Coturnix japonica: one gene and its partners. The protein of the gene in region 2 purifies or fractionates together with the protein of the main gene of each other region. This does not show direct contact. Links are inferred from orthologs where the notes say so. Each region holds a gene or a part of one and is shown on either strand. Other genes may lie near its edges. The genes, in order: DHX33, USP36 and GNL2.

Region 1 (6,818 bases), on a different chromosome or scaffold from region 2:
CTCACTGCTCTGTTTGGAAGCTGAGCTCTCCATCTTTCTGCTGTAACCATTATTTGTAAGCAATTCCATACGGAATAAGTTAGCACTTACCAGGAGATGGTTTGGACATGAAGTCAAAGGTGAGTATGTTGGGAATCCTCAGGGCCAAGAGCTGAAGCAGCACACTGGCCAAGTTACACCTGCATAGGCAGAAAAAGACAACTGAGATTATTTCACCTTATAGGCAGATAACAGCATCAAACACCCAAAACTCTGAAGAAATCAGAGTCCTCAGATCTGTGCTCTAACTTGAAAGAGACTATTCCATGACTTCCTGAATGGGCAGACCCTGGAGCCTCATGTAGGGCCAAGCACCCACCCCACTGATGGACTCTCAAGTATTTTGCCAACTGCCCCAATGGACAACACGGAGATGACTCCTGGTGGAGCCTGTAGGAGTGGCACACCCCACATTATCTTAGCACCCAAGTGGGGGAGGTAATAATAGGCTGCTAGTTCGGACTGAAAGGAGAAACCCCCTGACCAGACCTTGCAGTTCTTTGACACTAATAGTTTCACCACATGTTCTCACCTCTGTATCTCAGGTATCGTCATTTTGTCAAACTTCTCAAACTCATCCTCCGTGTACAGCCGGTAGCAGACCCCGCTGTCCTCTCGCCCTGCTCTCCCCGTCCGTTGCCAGGCCTGGGCCTTTGACACTCGCTGGACTGCCAACACTTCCAGACCAATTTCTAAGTATGGAAAAGCACCATTTCTGTCAATGACGGCATAATACAGGACCTTGAAAAACATAAACTTGTTAACAAAAAACCCCAGGAGTTTCCTGTCCAACTACTGTACACGTCTGAAACCTGGGATGTTAATTTAGACAGCGCAGAGGGTGTTTTATACCAGCTGCCAATGGGACACATTGCTTCAAAAAACACAAACTTCTACAACAGCATCTCTATTGTTCCTTAACGTTCCTCACCAGGATTGTACTTCTTTGCTTTGACCATGCCTGTGTCCACAACATACTTTATACCCGAAATGGTGATGGAGGTTTCTGCGATGTTGGTGGAGAGGATCACTTTGCGGCAGCCCTATGAGGAAGAGCAAACTGTAGCAGTCAGAAGCCATCTCAGATTAGCTGCAGTAGACAAACAGCACTACCAGCATGGGTCAAGCCTTCATACTATTACAGCATGTTATAATCATGTACTATGTTTGCTATACAAGATTTTAAGTCCTGAAATTCGATGTTTTTTTTTTCCAAACATTCACACAATCAAACAGACAAACTGACTCTGATCGTCCATCACGTTCTCTCACCTTGGGGGCAGCCTGAAAGACTCGGAGTTGTTGAGAGTAGGGCAGAGAAGCATAAAGAGGCATCACCGTCATCTGCGGGCAGCCATCAGGGAGATGCTTGGCAATGTCTCGACAGGTTTTGGTCATTGCTTCAATCTCTTCCTGACCCGTTAGAAACACGAGGATGTCCTGAGAAGAGGGAGCTTCCTGGAGCCAGAGGGAAAAGCACAGGAGAAGTTATGATGGATTGGACAGGGAGTGAGAGCTGAGCTTGTGATATCAGCAAGTCTTGCAATATGTTGTCCTGTTAGCAAGTCAGCAAAGCATGTATGACAGAAAAGACACATCCTGTGCAAGGTGTGGAATAGCCTTACGATTCCAATGGATTCACCAATGGTAAAGGGTAAACAGCATTTTACAGTGTTGGGTTGTAACAAGGATGGAGAAATCACTCAAATTTACATATCCATCCAAAACATGCAAGGGAGAAAGCCAGCAAGCACCCGGATTCGAGTCAGAAAGCACAGAAAACTCAGGTGAGAGAAACATTTCATTATGAATTAACACCGGAGAACTTTGCATAGCAAAGCCTTCGCCACAGTAACCCAAGCACCCCCAGTTGACAATCTGTGGTACCAGGGAGGTGCAGACTTGATGAGATAACCATACCTGGTGGATCTGGAAGACTGACACCAGTGCTGCTTGGAGGTAATCGCTCTGAGGCTGTTTGGTGTAGAAGACCTGAATGGGATGTTGCCTGCCTTCTAAATAGAGAACAGGAGCTCCATTGAAGTACTGGGAGAACTGATCGACGTCCATCGTAGCTGACATGACAATCACCTACAGTGTGAGCATAAAATGGGTCAGCACAGCAGTTCACATCCAGCACGGGACTTATGGCCAGGACTAACCAATAGCCAACTTCCCAAGGCTGCAATGCAGACTCGGAACAGCAGAAAGCACACAGAGTTTGGGACGGTTCTTTGCTTGTGTAATACCAAAGCTGATGGCTTTAACAAGTGTGATACGCTGGTATGAGAAAATGAGTGAGAAGGCACAATAAAATTCTTTTTGGACATTTAATAAACAGAGCTGAGCATCCACAAAGCGAGGCTGCGCATCAGCCTGTTGAACAGACTGCAAGGATCATACCAGCAAGCAGGAATCATGCCTTCCCCATCAAAACCAAGGTGCATTCACGCAGCTCGGTGTATACTTGCACACTCCAAATCATGACCTGACACGTATGTCCCAGTACAAGCATATCGTAACAGCTGCACTAACAGAGAGAAAGCTCCTGTCTCCAAGACACTCTCAGCAACACACTGTAATTTGGCCACCCTGAACTATTCAGATTTAAAGGGATTCTTTAGGAAAGGAAAACACACAAGGCTAATGTTTGAAACACACTGTAAATTCCAGGTGTTGCTCATAAGGCACAGAGTCCCAGCCCCATCCCTGCCATCCCAGCTGAACGCACCTTTAGGGGCAGTTTGCCCAACTCTTTCCTTTTCTTTTGGGCAGCTTTCACCACTCCAAAGAGCACATCAGTATGGATCGTCCTCTCATGGGCTTCATCCAGGATGACAACGCTGTATTTCCGCAGGATGGGATCCCCAATGGCTTCACGAAGCAACATGCCATCCGTCAAAAACTTGATCCTAGTTTCATCAGACGTCAGGTCATCGAAGCGCACGGTGTAGCCAACCTAAGGAACAGATCATGACAGAAGATTTACTTTTCTCACTGCTGTTGTACCACAAAGGAGAACTACATAGTGCCACCAGCAGCCAGGCCGATGTGACACCCAAAGGGAGCTCCCAACACTGTAGCCCATTAGATTTTTCCTATTAACAGAACTCAAATAATCACCACGTAAAGAACTACAGTCAAACATGGGTTTCCCTGAGCCACAAAAGAAGCAGAAAGCCATTTTCCCCATTCAAGCATATTACTGAGGACCCTTAGGACTCAATTTTTTACCTTATCCATTCAATTAACCACACTGCAGCACTAAAACAGCTCCCTAAAGGCCCTGGGAAGGCACGTACCAGTTTCCCCAGCTCCGTCCTCTTTTCATCTGACACTCTGGTCGCTAAGGATATGGCTGCTACTCTGCGAGGCTGTGTCACAGCAATGATGCCCTGGCGGCCGATTCCTGCTTCGTAGAGGTACTGAGGGATCTGAGTGGTCTTTCCTGAGCCTGTTTCTCCTGCAGAACATCAAGGGAACAGAATCAGAACCGCAGGGATCGGAAGAGACCTCTAGGAATCGTGAAGTCCAACTCCCTGCTGCAGCCAGGCCCCTCGGTCGCTCGTTGTATGGGCGATGCTCCAGGCCCCATCATCTTTTGTAGCTGGATTCTCTCTAGGAGACCCTCGTTTTTTTTCAGCTGAGGAGCTCAGAACCGGGCAGAGAACATAGAAAACCCTGTTTTCCCATAGAGATCACCTTCAAACTAAAGGTCCCAACTCGTTTCTTACGGCAGCTCCCTCATGGCCGACACCTCACCTCACCTCACCACACAGCAGTCACCTCAGCACCGCATCCCTCCCTCCCCGGCCGCTCACCGATGAGCACGGCGCACTCCAGGCCCCGCAGCTGGCTGAGCAGCGGCCCCCGAGCCTGGAAGATGGGCAGATCGCGGCGCTGAGAGGCGGCTGGGGGCTGCGGGAGCCGGCGGGGAGCGGCGGGGGAGCCGGGCAGCATGGCGGCAACGCACCGTCAGCCGCCACACAGGGGCCGCCCGGCCGCCATCTTGTGGTGCCCGCCTACATACAGCGCGATGAGGGCGGGGCGATGGCTGAGAGGAGCCGCTATTCCATCTCTGCCTTCAGAATATAGGGCGATCATACTAATATTAACCAAAGAATCCAGAAAACGTTTTATTCAACTCATTATATGAGATATTTGAGCAGCTCCAGCTCCACACAGACCCTCTTTCCTGGTGCTCTGAGGAACGTGTGGACCCATGGAACCAAGCAGTCACAGCCTGTACCTGTATTCACACACAGCTACGTCCCAATAACACTACATTATGTTCAATCACATTATGTTCAATCGTGTATTTCTGACACTTCAAACAAGACCAGAGACATCATCATCTCAGACTAAAAACATTCACCACTGAAACAGGGACTTGTACTCTCACCCATCTTGAAGCTGTTTTATCCAAGAATAAAAAAGGAGTTTAAAAAAGGCTTTTTTTTTTGTTTTGTCCCCTGTAAAGTTCCCCATATCTTTTCCTGTATCAAATAACTTGGAAAAAAATGCTTTAGAAATCACTTCAAACAAGTACTCGTGGTCTTGTTAACCCAAGTTATGTAAATGGTTTCCAGTTTTAGGGTTTTTGGCTCCACTGGATTAACATTTGCATTCCCAGCACAATAAATTCCCTGGCTAAGGAAGACACTGGTAGCCTGGAAGTGTCTTGGATTAGACTTGCCATTTCATAAAGTGCTTGTATTCGAAACCATAGAGCTGATGAATGGTGTTCTTTCTGCGATGGAGAACGAGGGATTCCCCAGGACAGAACTCCAGGTTCATCTCTCCCAGCCGTTGCTGGGTTTTGGCACAGCCATCTCATTAGCCTCCAAGACGTTGACCTTCTCCCCATGCAAACCCCCCCGGCCGTTCTTCTGGTAAGGGATTGTAATTGGGATCATCTTCTGGTGTATCAAATATTGCTTTCCTGGAAAGCAGAAAGACACATTTAATAATGAAATCCAGACCACTCCAATTCCACACACATACATCAACAGAGTCGGAGCAGTGCTCAGTAATATAAACAACACCACCTCCTGCCAAAGTTGTGAAATTAGGATGTTTATCAGACAAAAAATAGCTGTATTTCACTTAATAGTTATCCTGTTCATACACAGCTGGATTCTTATTCCTCACGTGCACTTTTGGTGCCACCAACAGGCAGAAGTTGGTAAAGGCTACTAAGGATTAACAAATCAAGGACTACACAAACCCCTCAGCCCTTCCCCTAAATATGAAAGCTCCCACTCACACACTTGACACAATCCCCCCCCTTGTTTGGCAACACACAAGTCAGATACAGAAGTACAGACACAGCGCAGCTCTGACTCGAATTCCCTTGCTTACTAGAAGTCACTTAGTTTGAGTTATCCAGCATTTTCCACACAAGCACTGTTTCTTTATCTGTTCCAAACCAGAAAGCAATACTTACAGGACAGATGGTGTTCTCAGCAGCCTTCCACCACCAGGCTGATTGGGAAAGACGTCCTCTAAGAAAAAATATATATGCCCGACTGCAATGCCTAGTACATGAACAAATACCAAATGGTTACTTCCCAATCCATACTTCTTTACAGCTCACAGATACTTAACAAGAATTTTCAGGGGTAAAAAACAACCAAACATACTGTTCTTCACAGAAAATATAATGAAGTTTAGAAATACAAAACCCAATGAAACACACCTTATGAATCAACCTTAAGGGTTTGGTTTCTCCCCCCATGTTTCTTGCTCCATTAGCTTTATGATTCTTCAAGCTCCTTACCTAGGAGATCCACGATGATGGAGTTCCCCAAAAGCAGCGAAAAGCCCATCAGTACCCAAGGTAGAAACGGAGCTTGGAAGATGAGAAGCCCAAAGAAGTTCATACGGACGTAGGGATTCCTGCGGCTCCATACGTACACAAGCATTATTGTGAACGCCTGACCCAAGAAAACCAAGTTCACAAACAGGCCAAAGATCTCCAACGGGAAGTTAAAGAAAGTCACCAAATAATAGTTTGAGGTCAAGCAATAAGAATCAGACAGCTTGATCTATAACCCCACGCTTTTCATACAATTCTTCTTTCCCAGGGTCAAGTAAACCACGCTTATGGTCAATCAAATCCAGCACCTGTGGGCAGGATGCAGCACACCCAGAGCGTGAATAAACACTTAAAATTCAGCATGAAAACACTGAAGCAAAAGCATTTATGAGATAACCTAGGCATGATTATCCACCTGAGTAGTCCCCTCATCTACTTCCATAACTCTGTCAAGCAGCAAAAAGAAAGATCAGCCGAACATCTAATAGAAGTGACAGACACAAAGTCAAGCACTTAAAATACTACTGCTTCTCATGCTACAAGAAAAATGCTGTCATCTAATAACTAAGTGACATGACACTCAGACAGCATAGTCTGAGTTCTCTTTCATCTATCACCTGCTTCACTACAGTGTTTTGGAATAAAACCAGAAAGGATACAGTCATTAAGAGTCCTCCAAAAAGGAACATAAATACAAAATCTGCCGTCCGACCTCGAAAAGAACCTTCTTCAAGCATCCGGCAGTAACGGTATCTGAAGTCACAGGTCAGGGAAATGTGACAACAAATGAGTTTAGAGAAAGATCCAATGGGAAAAGGCTGCATTGATATGAACTGTGCATTGAAGCTCGTGCATCAGTTCAGTTCATTAACTGACTCATCCTGTGTGCCTCAGCAGAGTGGCCATAGAACACATAATACACAGTATAGTATAGAAAATATATATATAAATATAATATAGA
Region 2 (6,553 bases):
GGCCCTGGGGACAGAACCATGCTGCCCACATGCCCCAGGCTGCTGTGGGGACCATGGGCACAGCCCCCACATCCCGCCTCAGCCTCACCCGGCCCAGAAGTGGTGCTGGCAGGGGCCCGTTGGTTGTGGTTCTCTTGGTCTGATCAGATACAACAGGTGAATGGCTGGGGGTGGCTTTGGCAATGGGCCCTTCTGAGCCCTTCCTAGGGCCAGGGATCCTGGGGAAAGCAAAGCACACATGTCAGCCAGGAGGGTTGGAGACAGCAAACCCCATAGCATCCATGTCCTTGTGCCAACCACCCAGACTGATGCTGCCAGAATACACAGGAGCTGCTGAAGGGCAGGGAACGCAGGGCACCTCACCTCAGGTAGAACAGCACATAGGCCTGCTGATTGAGGACCACCTTGATGTTGCTGCAGTGCACGAGGGAGTCATTCATCTGGTACCACTGCCCATTGCTGGCCTAGGAGCAGAGCTTGGGGTCAGGCCCTGCCCAGAGCAGCACCAGCACCCCAAGAAGGTGCTACTAGGGCTCACCTTCACATAGCAATAGTAGTGTCCTGCATGGCAGCTGTACCCCGAGTGCACCAGCACTGCATAGAGTCCATACATGACCGGATCACCATTGTTCTGAGACATGTAGGGGCGAATGTTCAGGAACTCAGGGTACCCCACGTCCTGCGGGGAGAGGATGGCTCAGGGGTCTTTACCACTAGAGCAAAAGCAGCTCCAACCACCCTATGATCCCTCTCCAGAGGGCACCCAGCTCAGCCCTGGCTAGGACTGCAGCAAGGAAGGTGCTGACCCTGCAGCACAGCCTGGGGAAGGCTACCGGGCTGCAGCAGACCTTATGCTGCAATGGAACCCTATGAGCCGTGGCACAGCCCCAGCCCTGCACTGCCCAATTCTCACCTTTGTGATTTTGCCTCCACTGAAGTTGGCAAAACGCTTCAATGAGAGCGTGAGGACGTTGGAGGCTCGGTGGATGGTGAAGCGTTTGCTGGCTGGTACCTTCTTCTTGCACCTACACAGAAGAGCTCCAGCTATCCAAGCTGCTCCACAGCCAGGTGACTGCCCTCAGCTGGGACACACCTCATGGAATCCATTGCACTGAATGAAAGCATCAGCTCATGGCCACCATCTGCTGCTGCCCAGGCCTTTCCCTCCCAGCCATACAGCTGGAATGGGGTCGGCTCTATCACAGCCACACGTCCCAGCTGGGGCTGCATCTGTACCACCTTACTTTCCGCTACTCCACACCATGGGACCCCCCTCACCTGGCACACATGTAGGCGTTCTCCCCACTCAGCATGTCTGATTTCACAAACAGCTCCAGCGCCCGCACGATGTTTGCAGCTTGCTGCAAGGACAGGGCAGAGCTCAGGGCATGTGTGACCTGTCCACACTACACCATAACACAGTGCCCACTGACATACCCTGATCTCCAAGGACACATCCAGGAAGGGGTCGTAGGTATCTGAGACACTCTTACACACGGAGCATTTCACTGCAAAAGAAAGAGCAGTGAGTGCACCCTGCTACATCTGCACCTGCCATTCAGCAGCTGCAGCGCTGCCCCTCTATGGGTCTGGGCTCTGGGATGCCAGCACCAACATTTCTGTTGGGCATTTGCAGCTTGGCAGGGAGGAAGGCTGCTGGCATAGCAATTGTTGCTCAACAGCTGCAAGCGTTGGTTCCTTCAATGAGTGACAAAGAGCCAAGGACCCGCAGCCAACAGCTTTCTGTGTTGCCACAACAGGAGCCAAGACCCACAGGCATGGCAGGAGTGGCAAAGCACAGCTTTGGGTGATTTACACATGCTTGGCCATTTTCCCAAATGATTTTTAGTGCAGAGCTGTTGGGGTAACAGCAGCCCAGCAGCAGCACTCACCACGGGACCGCAGGTAGCCACCAAAGATCTGGTGAACCAGCGTGGTGGCCTGGGTCTGGCGATCCAACCTGGAAGAGAAACACCACATCTATCACTGCTCTTCCACACCACAATGCAAAGGCCACCCCTGTGTCCCGCACCAACCACAGACTGTGATAAGGACAGGGAAGATGCAGTGCTTCTGCTGTTTTGTGGATCCCAGTGCCTGAGCTCAGGGAGCACCAGGCTGTGTGTACCCAATGCTCTCCAAGCATGGTTGCTCCCAGCTGCAGCTCAGAGCCTTGCACTGAAGGTGGATGCAGTGCTGGTGCCCTGGGTCTCAGCCCCACAGCAGGGCACAGCCCAGGGCTGTATCATGGAGCAGAGATGGCCTCAGTACCCCAGTACTCAGAGCTGTGTGTACCTGGTGCAGCCGCTCAGGCAGGCCTTCTGCATGGCATCGATGGTGTAACGCAGGAACTCGTGTGCATCCTCCTGGCTGCCAAAGCGAAAGTGCCGGGCAATCTCTGCAGGGAAAAAAGGGCTCAAATCCTGCATACAGAGCCTCTATGCCCCCCCCCAAAGCCAAGCTGTGGGGCAGCCCCATGTGGTCCTGCGGCAGCTCAGCCTCCATGAATCAGCTCCGAGCCACTCACTGCCAGGACCTGCCCCAGCCTCGTGAGTCACAGCAGGGGAGCACAGCGTGGAAGGACCCATCCTTACTCTTGAGGTCTCGGATGAAGGACACCGGCTTGATGGCGTTGCCGCTGTTGGCAAAAGCCTGGATCATGTGGTTCTGCATAACGCACATCATGCAGAAACCTCCCTGGTGACCTGCAGGAGAGAAGAAAGGACGCTGGGGACAAAGGCAGGAGGGATGGAGGGGGTGAGAGAGAAGGGGAACCCCTGTGGCCATGCAGCACAGCCCTCCCCATGAGCTCAATGCTATAGCACAGTGCAGCCCAGGGGACAAGGACAAGCATATGACACACCAGCTGGCAGTGCCTAGGTCACAGATAACGCTGCAGATGAGAACACCCATCTGTAAGGGTGGCACACAGGGCACCAGCACCTCCCAGACAAGCCAGCAGGTCTGTATATAGGGCAGAGCTGAGCTTTATGAATGGGGCACTGACGACAGGCTGTGGGCCGTGCCACCAGGAACCACCCCAGGCAGTTCTGCAGCCATTGGGGGCCAACCCAGCCCAGGGCAGCCCTCCCCCCATATATAACCCCCCCCCAGCCCTACAGCACTATCCCACACCCCACTCACAGGCACGGCTGTGCTCCTTGGACAGCAGGTAGCAGGCGAGGGGCGGCGTGTAGGTGAGGCACTGCAGGGTGGCGTTGAGGAAGCAGGTATTGCCCAGGTTGTGCAGCCCGGCGCCCACCCGCTGGACACGCTCCCACTTCAAGGAGAGCCGCTCTGCGGGGAACAGCACCTTCTGCGGGGCGGGGACACCATCCCCGGGTCCGTGATCGCCTCCTGAGGGATGGAGGGCGGTGAGCGGAGGGCTTCACCGGGACCCCCCCCATATACACACTCCGATTTGCCTGGGGAGAGGCACGCACCGTGCTTCCTGCTGGGCCCCTCCGGTGGGGGCGGGCGGGGCGCGTTGGTCCCGGTGCTGGCGTTGAGCGGGCGGTACTTGCCCCGCAGCAGCTCCAGCTGCCCGGACAGCCCACGGCTCGCAGGCTCGAACTCGATCCTTTGCAGCAGCACCTTCTTGGCCGAGGCGGCCAGCAGCCGGCCCAGCTCCCCGTCCTCGCTCGGCTCCTTGCGGCCCGGCTTCAGCGCCTCCCGCAGCTTCTCCACGATCGGCATCGCGGGGCCGGGCTGGGGGATGGGCGGAGGGGGGGTGAGCGGGGGGCGCCACGAGGAGCGGCCGAATCCGGCCCCATTCAGCCCCATTTAGCTCCGTTCTCCCCCATCCCCGGCCCCCACCGCCACCCGCGACCTTGAGCCCCGCCACCACGTGCCGCCCCGCCCGGTACCGTCGCTCCGCAGCGGCCCCACGCAGCGCAGAGATGCGGCACAGACCACGCGGGCTCCGAACCTCCCCCGCCCCCCCCGAACCACCCGCCGTACACCCAGCCCCGTCCCCCCGGCCCGGCCCGGTCCACACGCACCATCCGGGTCCCGTCCACGCACGTGTCACCGCCTTCAATGGGCGGCTCCCGCGTGGCGCCGCCGACACGAACCACTTCCGCACCACCCCCATTATGGGGGCAGGGTCTAACGCAAAGCACGCCCCTATAATCACATGGCCACGCCCCCCCCCAAAAAAACAAGAAAAACCCACCCCCCAAGCCCAGCTTTAAATCACGGCAGCACGTTAGATACATCTGACTTTAATACTTATCAAGCAGAGATCTGAAAATAACTATACGTAAACTTTTTTGTCTCTTTTTTTTTAACCTCTTTTTTTTCCCCTCCTTTTTTTAAACACCACATCGAGCTGCTGACCCCAAAGCAGAGCCACGGCCATAAATTAAAGCGGCTCCAAGGGGGGGCTTTAGGGGGGGCCGGGGGTTGGGGCCTGCCCCAGCGCTGCCCCACAGCCCCTCCATCATTCCCCCCCCCCCCCCAACCCCCCCCTTTTTGCCCCACTGTGGAGCCCCTTTAGAAAAATAAGTGCAATTCTAACGCCTAAAGGGGGAAATAAAACCCCGAAATCAAACCCAAAAACCCCCGACAAAAATAAACAATAAACCAAACAAACGACAAAATAATCACAGCACGGGAATGATAGAGCTGATGGCAGAACAGTGGGGGGTATTAAACTCAGAGACAGGCTACCAGCAGAGACAGGAGTAAATGGCACATATGATATAACCATACAGAAGCGAACGGGAGTCCTATATGGGACTGATTAGAGGCTGGGTGGGGTTGGTTGGGGTTGTTTTTTTTCTTTTTTTTTCTTTTTTTTCTTGTTTTTTTTTTTTCTTTCCTTTCTTTCACTGTTTCTTTTAACACCTTCAAGTTGCCCAGACTGGTCCAGAGCCACATCGTCACCCTATGGGGATGTACAGCATGAAATACCCCGAGCTGGGGCCGGCCGTGTGTATGGGGAAATGGCTCAGAGAGGGGGGGTGTGGGGTCGGTGTCCTGCAGCCATCCCCCTCTCCTCCGAGGGGTGAACCCCATTCGGCCCCTAAGGGCTACAGTGGGTGAGAGCCCCATGGCTCCTGCAGGTGGGAGCAGCTGGTGCCAAGCTGCACCCTTCTGGCACCCCACAGCAAGGGATGGGATGGAGGACGGCACGGTGCTGGTGCTGGGTAGCTCCAGTTGGCAGCTGTGCCCCTGCAGACCGAGGGCAGCTCATCAGCATTCAGCCTGCAGGGAATGGGGTCGCAGGGTGCAGGTATTGCAGGGTATGCACGGTTGCAGTGAGCCCCCCCCCCGCCCCATGCACACACGGCAGCTCCATGCCCTGCGGCCCCTCGGGGCTGTGTGGGTTTTCATGCTGTCTCCAGGCCCCGATGTCAGCGTGGACCAGTCTAACATCTCGCTGGGCTTTCCTACTGGCTACTGGAATGCACTCGGTTGGCTTAGGGGTCCTCGATGTCGAGAAACTCCTGCTTGGGGGGGGCCATGCCGCGGTACCAGGCGCATGAGCCGTCGCTCCTCTTGATGCAGGCGTAGTGCTTGGCCTGCCGCCCGCCCACGATCTTCTCCATCGCCCAGTCTGTCCAGAGGCACTCATCCGAGGAGGAGACGAAGCACGGGATGGAGAGGCAGCGTGAGATCTGCACAGGGTAGAGCTGGTCAGCACCCGTCCCTACAGCCCCCCACCTACCCATAGGGATGCCCCAGGTGTGGGTCCTGGGTCAGGGCACTCACCTTGCACTCACAGCCCATCTGGTACCTCTGGTTGAGGCTCTTCTTCTGGGTAGGGCTCAGTGAGTCCCAGGTGGCAACCAGGTCACACAGCGTGATGTGCATCTTGCCATCGCCCTCCGATTTGCCTGGGGAGAGGCCACATAAAGCCACTCACACACACACACCTGGGGGCTGCTGGGTCCAACCCCCCCTTGGATGTGGGTCAGTGCCCATTCCTACCTGCAATCAGGTACTCCTTCTTGCCTCCTGTGTCCAGTGGCTGCCCACACACTGCTGTGGATGGCGCCGTGTAGATGAATTCGATGTCCTGGTCGGGGCCCTTAAACATCTGAGGACAGAGTGCAGGTGTGAGCAGCAACACCCAACCCCCACCCACCCCACGGTGCCCATCCCAAAGGTGCCCACTCCATACCTTGATCTGCTTCACTTCATACTGGATTCGCTTGATGGGGTTCCCATAAATGTCATTCCCCGAATCCACCTCCTTTGCAGAGACGGCCTTTGCTCGGATCACTGCAAGGGAAAGGCATGGAGATGGGCAGGCGCTGGGGGCAAGAGCACAGCCCCCCCCAGCCCCATATCTCCCCAGCTGGTAGCCTAACCCACAGAGGGACAGCATGGCCACTCCCCATTATCAGCATCCTGGGAGCACTATTTGTCCACCACCATTAATTAATTCACATCCCAGCCCAGTGCCTGCAATGCCCAGCACAATGGAGAGACCCAAGGGCAGTGGAGCTCACCTCTGGGTATAGAAAGGAGCCCCCAGTACCCAATACAGGGCCGACCTACCCGGTGCCCACTGCCTTTGCACCATGCAATCACAGAGGTGCCTGGC
Region 3 (6,056 bases), on a different chromosome or scaffold from region 2:
AGACATCTCTGTGGAAGAGTTCTTTGCTATCCGGTGCTCTGAATCATGTCAGGAAAAGCCCAATTTACATGGTGCTCTGGCAAAAGCATCAGTGAGTATCATTAGAAGAATGGAATAATATGCAAGAAGAGGCACGAGCCTCACATCCTTACCTCAGCAGCTGCTTCTGCATTTGGTGGCTTCACAAAGAACGGAATTCTGCCCCTCTGCCAGTCATTGAGAACCATCTTGCTGACAGTTTGCAGATCAGGCTCACCACCCTGAAAGAATTCAGTAACAGTTTCTGTCCTTGTTTGCAGGGCATACCATCTTTATATTATCTCTTTGCAACTGAAACGTATTTCGCACTTCCAGTGCAGAAACAAACCCACATGCTCTTCCAACCTGTAAATACAGGATGCTCTCAAACCTTTAGTAGTTTTCCAGTCCTAGCAGCAAGCTTCTCAAGGAAATCTTCTGTATCTTTCCAGAAATCAATTTTGTATGTCTTTCTGATGTACTCTGGCTTGGCTCTTTCCAGCACCGCACTAATGTGATCTTCAGGGCTCTTAATCTTTTCAACTTGAACCTAAAAATGAATGGTAAAGTATCAACCCTTTGGAAAGCGTGCAGACACTTCTTTGAACTCACCATGGTGAAAACAGCAAGAATTTTCCCTGCACACAGCACAGATACATACCACTCCCTTCAGAACAATGTCTGTTTCTGAGTCTCCAGATGGATACACCACCCCTGGGCAGTCAATGAGAAAAATCCTCCTCATCAAAGTAATGTATTGCCACACCTGAAAGATATCAGTGATCCCCACGTTACCTCCTCTCATGCACAACTGTTAGTTCTGCTTTTAAATGCACAGGTTTAATATACGGAAGTCATAAACTTGGCATTAGCACACACTGAGTCAGTGCAGCTGAGTGTTCAGATCACACAGCACTGCACAACAGACATAGAAACTCAGAAATGCTTTTGAGCAGCAGCACTCCAGAACAACGCCTGGCTCATCAGCCACCCCTCAGACTCAGGGTGATGCAGCTTGTGTAACTTCAGTGACCTGGAAACATTAATGAGCTCATTTTATATATTTTCTGCCTCTGACAACACAGTGGCATATTTATAATATTATTTTTTAACCTTTAAAAGAGCAGCGCCTTCCTACCTTAGTTTCACCTGCAATGGGAGCCACACTGCAGACCTTCTTAGACCGCAACGTGTTGATCACTGAGCTTTTGCCAACGTTTGGGTATCCAATAAAACCCACACTGATCTGTTTCTTATCAGAGTGTAACTGTTAAGAAATGACACATCATTTTAATACCTCATAGAAAATGACACAGTTACTATTGCAGTTTTAGGAGCTTCTGGTTGTATAAAAAAGCAAAGGCTGCTTCAAATACTCTGTCCAGGGGAAGTATTTTCCATTTCCACAGAATGAAGCTTGTTTGCTGACAGAATGGCCACGTGAAAGTGCACTGTACCCCACACATTAAAACAGATAAATCCCATACTAACCCCAACCCCAAACAATATAAAGCCCCACAGTTGTTCTTTACCTTTCCAAACTGCCTTAAAAGCTGTATGAAAGCACCTTTGCCAAAAGGGTTTGTGAGGCTGGCGTGAAAAGCAAGTGTTGGGTATTCCTGGGAAAGGACAGCAACCCAGCGCTTCTAAAGAGGAAAAACACTGCTCAGTTATGAATGCTGTGCTGCAAAGGCAGTGAAACAATTTCATTGTGAGAAAAACCATCTTCACTTGAGTCACATAACACAACTATCTATAAAAGTTGCCACGTAAGAAGCTTAGATGCATTTTATCAACCCAATAGCTAAAAGCACTGCCTATTGTTTTCATAAAAAGATGATTTCCCCCTAAATGCCTTCATTGCTAATTAGTTTAACAATGTAAAACAGACCAGCTGTGGTGGACATGGACCTTAAACGTACTAACATTTAGCATACTCTGGAGACATCAGCTGAACAGTTAAATCCAGACAGAGGAAGTAGAGAATTTGTGGCTGGTGACTGTTGCTCAACTGAGCCAAACTTGGACTGATTTAAATGGTAATTGTTACTTTTACAGCAAGCAAGCAGAGAGTTCCCACTGACCCAGTTACATTATGCCCTTAAGAGACTAGAACAAGGACTGGCAACAGAATTAGAGGCTATGAAAGGAACAAAATACATTCAAGGGACAAGAGGCAAAGCTGTGCTTACAGTAGCCCAGGTAGGAACAAGATCACATTTGTTCAGGACAAAAATGAGATGCTTCCAGTGTTTCTCTTTTTTCAGATAAGATTCCACATGAGGGGAGCGAGTACCCATAGGATCTCTGGCATCAAGAACTTGAACAACAACATCTGATGAGTCTATCACCTGGAAAAAGAAATACATATATATATATCATACATACACATATATCGCACAGAAGGAAAATAATACACATTTCCAAAATATAAAACAGTAATCTTCTAAATTCTTATCGTTATAGGATAAAACCTTACATCCTTTAGGAATGACTGTTAGTTTCCTGTAACAATCTCTACTCTCTCTTCCCTGCTCCCCTCCAAATTTAGGCTGGAGAGCTGTGAGCAGCTTCTAGGAGCATTTGGGAAGGGAAACACTACAACCAAGCAGTAAAGTTATTTGCCTTAGTGGGCAAAAAGAATGTTCTTCATCCATTCTATAAAGGATCGGGACATAAAGAGCGTTTGCTGGATCAGTATGAAACACACAACCAAGTAGGAACCTGCTGTTAGTCCACTAAGAATCTACAGCAGGGAGCTGTCATTTCATGACTTGCTTCAAGCCAAGAGAATTTGTTTCACAGCTATTTCCTGCATTTTTGGCAGAATCTTATTGAAATCTGTTTTGCTCTATGATTCCCAGCACTTCTAGGACTAAATGAGAAAGTTCTAAGCTACATTCAGAAATTTGGGACAAGTCAAGCAGTTTAACAACAGTCACTGAGAGCAAACAAACTGCACTTACAAATCTAACTCAATCTCAGGCTTCATTCCTTTAGCACCAGTGGCAACTCATGGGGAAGGTCAGAGAACCCCAAAGAAGATCTTATTAACACGATGCATCCTCAGTCTAAAGAAACTTAAGGGCATCTGACTGGTTTATTTGTGCTAAAGCCCCAGGAATTGTTCATTTTACCAGCTCATCTTTGGATCATATATTTTAAGGATGTATGTTCCACTGAGACAAGAGCTCAAGAATCAAGCTTAGAAGCTTGAAAATGAATCTCCCTGCTACTCTACAACTGTTTCTTTCTGTTCTAGTTGATGGTCTGGTTCAACACCAGTCCAATGCTAGAAAAGAGTGTATGGATTTACATCAGTCAGTTCAGTTAGGCCGACAGGAAAACAAGGAAGAGAATTATACACTAAGGATGTCTCTGAACAGACACCTTTGCTCTACAGAAAATTCAGCAGATCAAAGCTTCCCTAACATGGCCAGACATAACTGTACAGTTCTGAGAGCTTTTCAGAGTCACACAATATTTCCAACGCTGTGCTGCAGCACCGGACTTCACAAAGGCTAAAATACAGACAAATACCTGCTGCAAATTATAAGTGTTGCTTACCTTGTACAGCTCACCCCAAATTCTTTTTGACTGTCCTTTCTTAAATATTTCCTCTTGTGCTTCATCCCTGGAAGTGGATCACCAGAGACATCAACAACCACAATAACAGGGCTGTAGTGCTGTCTTCTCTAAAGCCAGTTAGCCATTTACAGAGAAAAGAGGAGATTAGACCCAGTCCCTTATTTAACCCAATATCTGAGTTCACAAATTTTCAGATATGCAACAGGAAATGAATTAGCAATGAAGACAGAAGGGTCCCATGGAAGCAGGAGTTCAGTTAAATATATTGGGATGAAACAGCCTTAAAATAAAATCCAGCCAAATTCAGCTTATTTCTCATTGCATACTCGTCAATCAGGCAGTAACAGCATCGATAGAGGAACTAGATGCGCTTTTTTAAATGAATGAAGATGTATAAGAAATGTAAATAGAGAATAATTTCTCCTTCCTATCTACCTTACTCCAGTGTCTTCAACGACCAGGTCTCTGTCTTTGCCCTGATCGTAACATTCTGATGAGGCTTCAGCATTCTCCAGCAGGGACTGTACATCACTTGCAGCAAGGTTTGGCCTTTTCCTCTGTGCTTTGGGGCCAAATGTTGTTTCAAATGTTTCTGTGTCAAGAATGTGAACTCTGGAGGTCTATGGAAAGATGGGTTGTTAAAATAAGAAAACACACCCACAATCTCTAATATTCCATCTCTCACGACATGCAGCCTACAAGATCTCAATGCAATGCAACTCTGTAACCTCTAACAAGAGTCATAGGCACTTTCCTAACAGTGTTTGAGTTCTGCAGCTTAATTTCGAGAAGCACAAACACGGATATTTAACAAGCACCAAACCAGGCTGCACTTGCCAAAGAACCATGCTTCACTTCTTCCTGCATAAATGATGTCCAAAGTAATTAAGGCTGCAATGATGAAAATTCAGCTGCTATCTTTGATCATTCCTTATTTTTCTAACAAGTGCACAAATCTCGCCAAATTCACAGATTTTTGTCAGGGATAATTACAGTCAAAACTGTAAAATTTGAAGCCTGTAATGAATGCCAACTTTTCTTGGAACGGCAGCAGTTCATAGCTGAAAGAAATCATTTGTTTTTGTAACACTTATTTTAGTTTACAGTAACTTTTCCCTTCATTTAGGTAACATTTTTATGACACAAACGTGGCAACTTTCCATGTGAAAAATATCTAACGATAATCCAAAATAATAATACTTCAGGGGTTATGAAAGCAGACTGGTAATAACTAAAGCTTTAGGCACTTGAAACTCAATTTGCCTTGAAACGAAAGCAGCACGCAGAACTTCTGATTCAAGATAAAAAGCACATATTTGAGTTCAGGCAGATTCAGTGCATGAGAGAAAACACGCTAACAGAACAATGCTTCCTCAGCACTGTCACATCAGCCATTAGAAGCATTAGGACAGAAGGTGACAAGTTTATATATAGTCATTTTAAATGCCATATTCTAACCTAGAGTGCTTTCAAGTAGATTTCCTGTGAGAAAATGTGAATTCCATACCATAGACATCACAAACCAGACTGCTTTCATAACCTCTGTATCACATCCACAGCATTGTGTCCTCAAAAATATCCCATTCCAAGATATTTGCCCCAATTCCTCCTCCAATGCTTCTCCAAACGTAGCCAGTTTCCCACATATAACACATAAAACAGCCTTAACCCAATGCAGATGAATGACACTCACGTGAGGTTTAATCCGATCGTGGAAAAGAGACATAGGTAACTTGCTTTGTTTCATGACCACTCTGTATGGATCTTTCATGACAGTTTCCATTTCTTCTTGAAACTTCTGCAGGGATGCCTGCTTGACCACACGAGTATTCCCTATGTGTAAGAATAAAGGCTACATCTACACCATTCATCACCTTTAACTGCTTCAGAGACTCAGATTACACCATGAAAATATCAATACTTCAACTGCAATAAAAAATACCAACCAATCCAAGCTTGTTGAATGGAGAGCCTGAAAGAAAACTCACCGAACCATTTAATATTTGGTTCCACTCTTGCAACTGTGCCTGGTGCCACTGTCGACTGATACTGCAGAGGTTTAATCACTTTGCCACGTTTGTTTCTAAGTGAAGAATGAAAATGCATGTAAATACATAATGAAACCATACATGCCTATAGCACTTTGATTCACTAGAGCCACTATTCACCCCCTTAGTACCCATCTAAGCCTATGCCTGCACAAAGGCAATAAGTTAGTTGGATGAGCTATCACACCTGCTGGCATACACTGCCCTGTGATGATCCTAGGCTTGATATTTTACCTGTTTGCTGTGTCAAATCACAGGGCAATATCTCTGAAAAACACCTTACTAATCATCTTAGTGCTTTGAACTCTAGTTATTCATAAGAAGCATCTGGGTACAAGCTAAGTACTACAGGATAACTGATACAAACACACATACACACACAAGTAGCTTTCATACAATACA

Evidence for each region.
Region 1: the proteins of USP36 (region 2) and DHX33 purify together in Homo sapiens (affinity purification with mass spectrometry; 5 studies listed by BioGRID and IntAct, counting the BioPlex papers as one, with this or other methods). This does not show direct contact. The link is inferred for Coturnix japonica from reciprocal best matches to the Homo sapiens genes USP36 and DHX33.
Region 3: the proteins of USP36 (region 2) and GNL2 purify together in Homo sapiens (affinity purification with mass spectrometry; 3 studies listed by BioGRID and IntAct, with this or other methods). This does not show direct contact. The link is inferred for Coturnix japonica from reciprocal best matches to the Homo sapiens genes USP36 and GNL2.

Annotation. Positions count from the first base shown.
Region 1 is NC_029534.1:2,445,304-2,452,121, reverse strand, and holds the start of DHX33 (ATP-dependent RNA helicase DHX33), read right to left. Parts: upstream 4,083-6,818; 5' UTR 4,000-4,082; coding exon 3,861-3,999; intron 3,503-3,860; coding exon 3,342-3,502; intron 2,999-3,341; coding exon 2,771-2,998; intron 2,131-2,770; coding exon 1,960-2,130; intron 1,498-1,959; coding exon 1,312-1,497; intron 1,083-1,311; coding exon 971-1,082; intron 732-970; coding exon 572-731; intron 180-571; coding exon 91-179; intron 1-90. Other genes in the region: DERL2 (derlin-2), read right to left, coding at 4,876-4,981, 5,486-5,576, 5,819-6,014, 6,517-6,610. UniProt on the Homo sapiens protein: Implicated in nucleolar organization, ribosome biogenesis, protein synthesis and cytoplasmic dsRNA sensing. Stimulates RNA polymerase I transcription of the 47S precursor rRNA.
Region 2 is NC_029533.1:4,607,952-4,614,504, forward strand, and holds the start of USP36 (ubiquitin carboxyl-terminal hydrolase 36), read right to left. Parts: upstream 4,116-6,553; 5' UTR 4,005-4,115; coding exon 4,002-4,004; intron 3,972-4,001; exon of another isoform or gene 3,867-3,971; intron 3,709-3,866; coding exon 3,444-3,708; intron 3,358-3,443; coding exon 3,145-3,357; intron 2,706-3,144; coding exon 2,595-2,705; intron 2,399-2,594; coding exon 2,296-2,398; intron 1,961-2,295; coding exon 1,893-1,960; intron 1,509-1,892; coding exon 1,438-1,508; intron 1,362-1,437; coding exon 1,279-1,361; intron 1,026-1,278; coding exon 914-1,025; intron 680-913; coding exon 539-679; intron 465-538; coding exon 364-464; intron 219-363; coding exon 89-218; intron 1-88. Other genes in the region: TIMP2 (metalloproteinase inhibitor 2), read right to left, coding at 5,424-5,621, 5,716-5,840, 5,935-6,043, 6,128-6,228. UniProt on the Homo sapiens protein: Deubiquitinase essential for the regulation of nucleolar structure and function. Required for cell and organism viability.
Region 3 is NC_029538.1:3,325,498-3,331,553, reverse strand, and holds part of GNL2 (nucleolar GTP-binding protein 2), read right to left. Parts: intron 5,690-6,056; coding exon 5,595-5,689; intron 5,440-5,594; coding exon 5,300-5,439; intron 4,227-5,299; coding exon 4,042-4,226; intron 3,653-4,041; coding exon 3,586-3,652; intron 2,370-3,585; coding exon 2,211-2,369; intron 1,665-2,210; coding exon 1,551-1,664; intron 1,286-1,550; coding exon 1,157-1,285; intron 785-1,156; coding exon 680-784; intron 569-679; coding exon 410-568; intron 261-409; coding exon 153-260; intron 1-152. UniProt on the Homo sapiens protein: GTPase that associates with pre-60S ribosomal subunits in the nucleolus and is required for their nuclear export and maturation.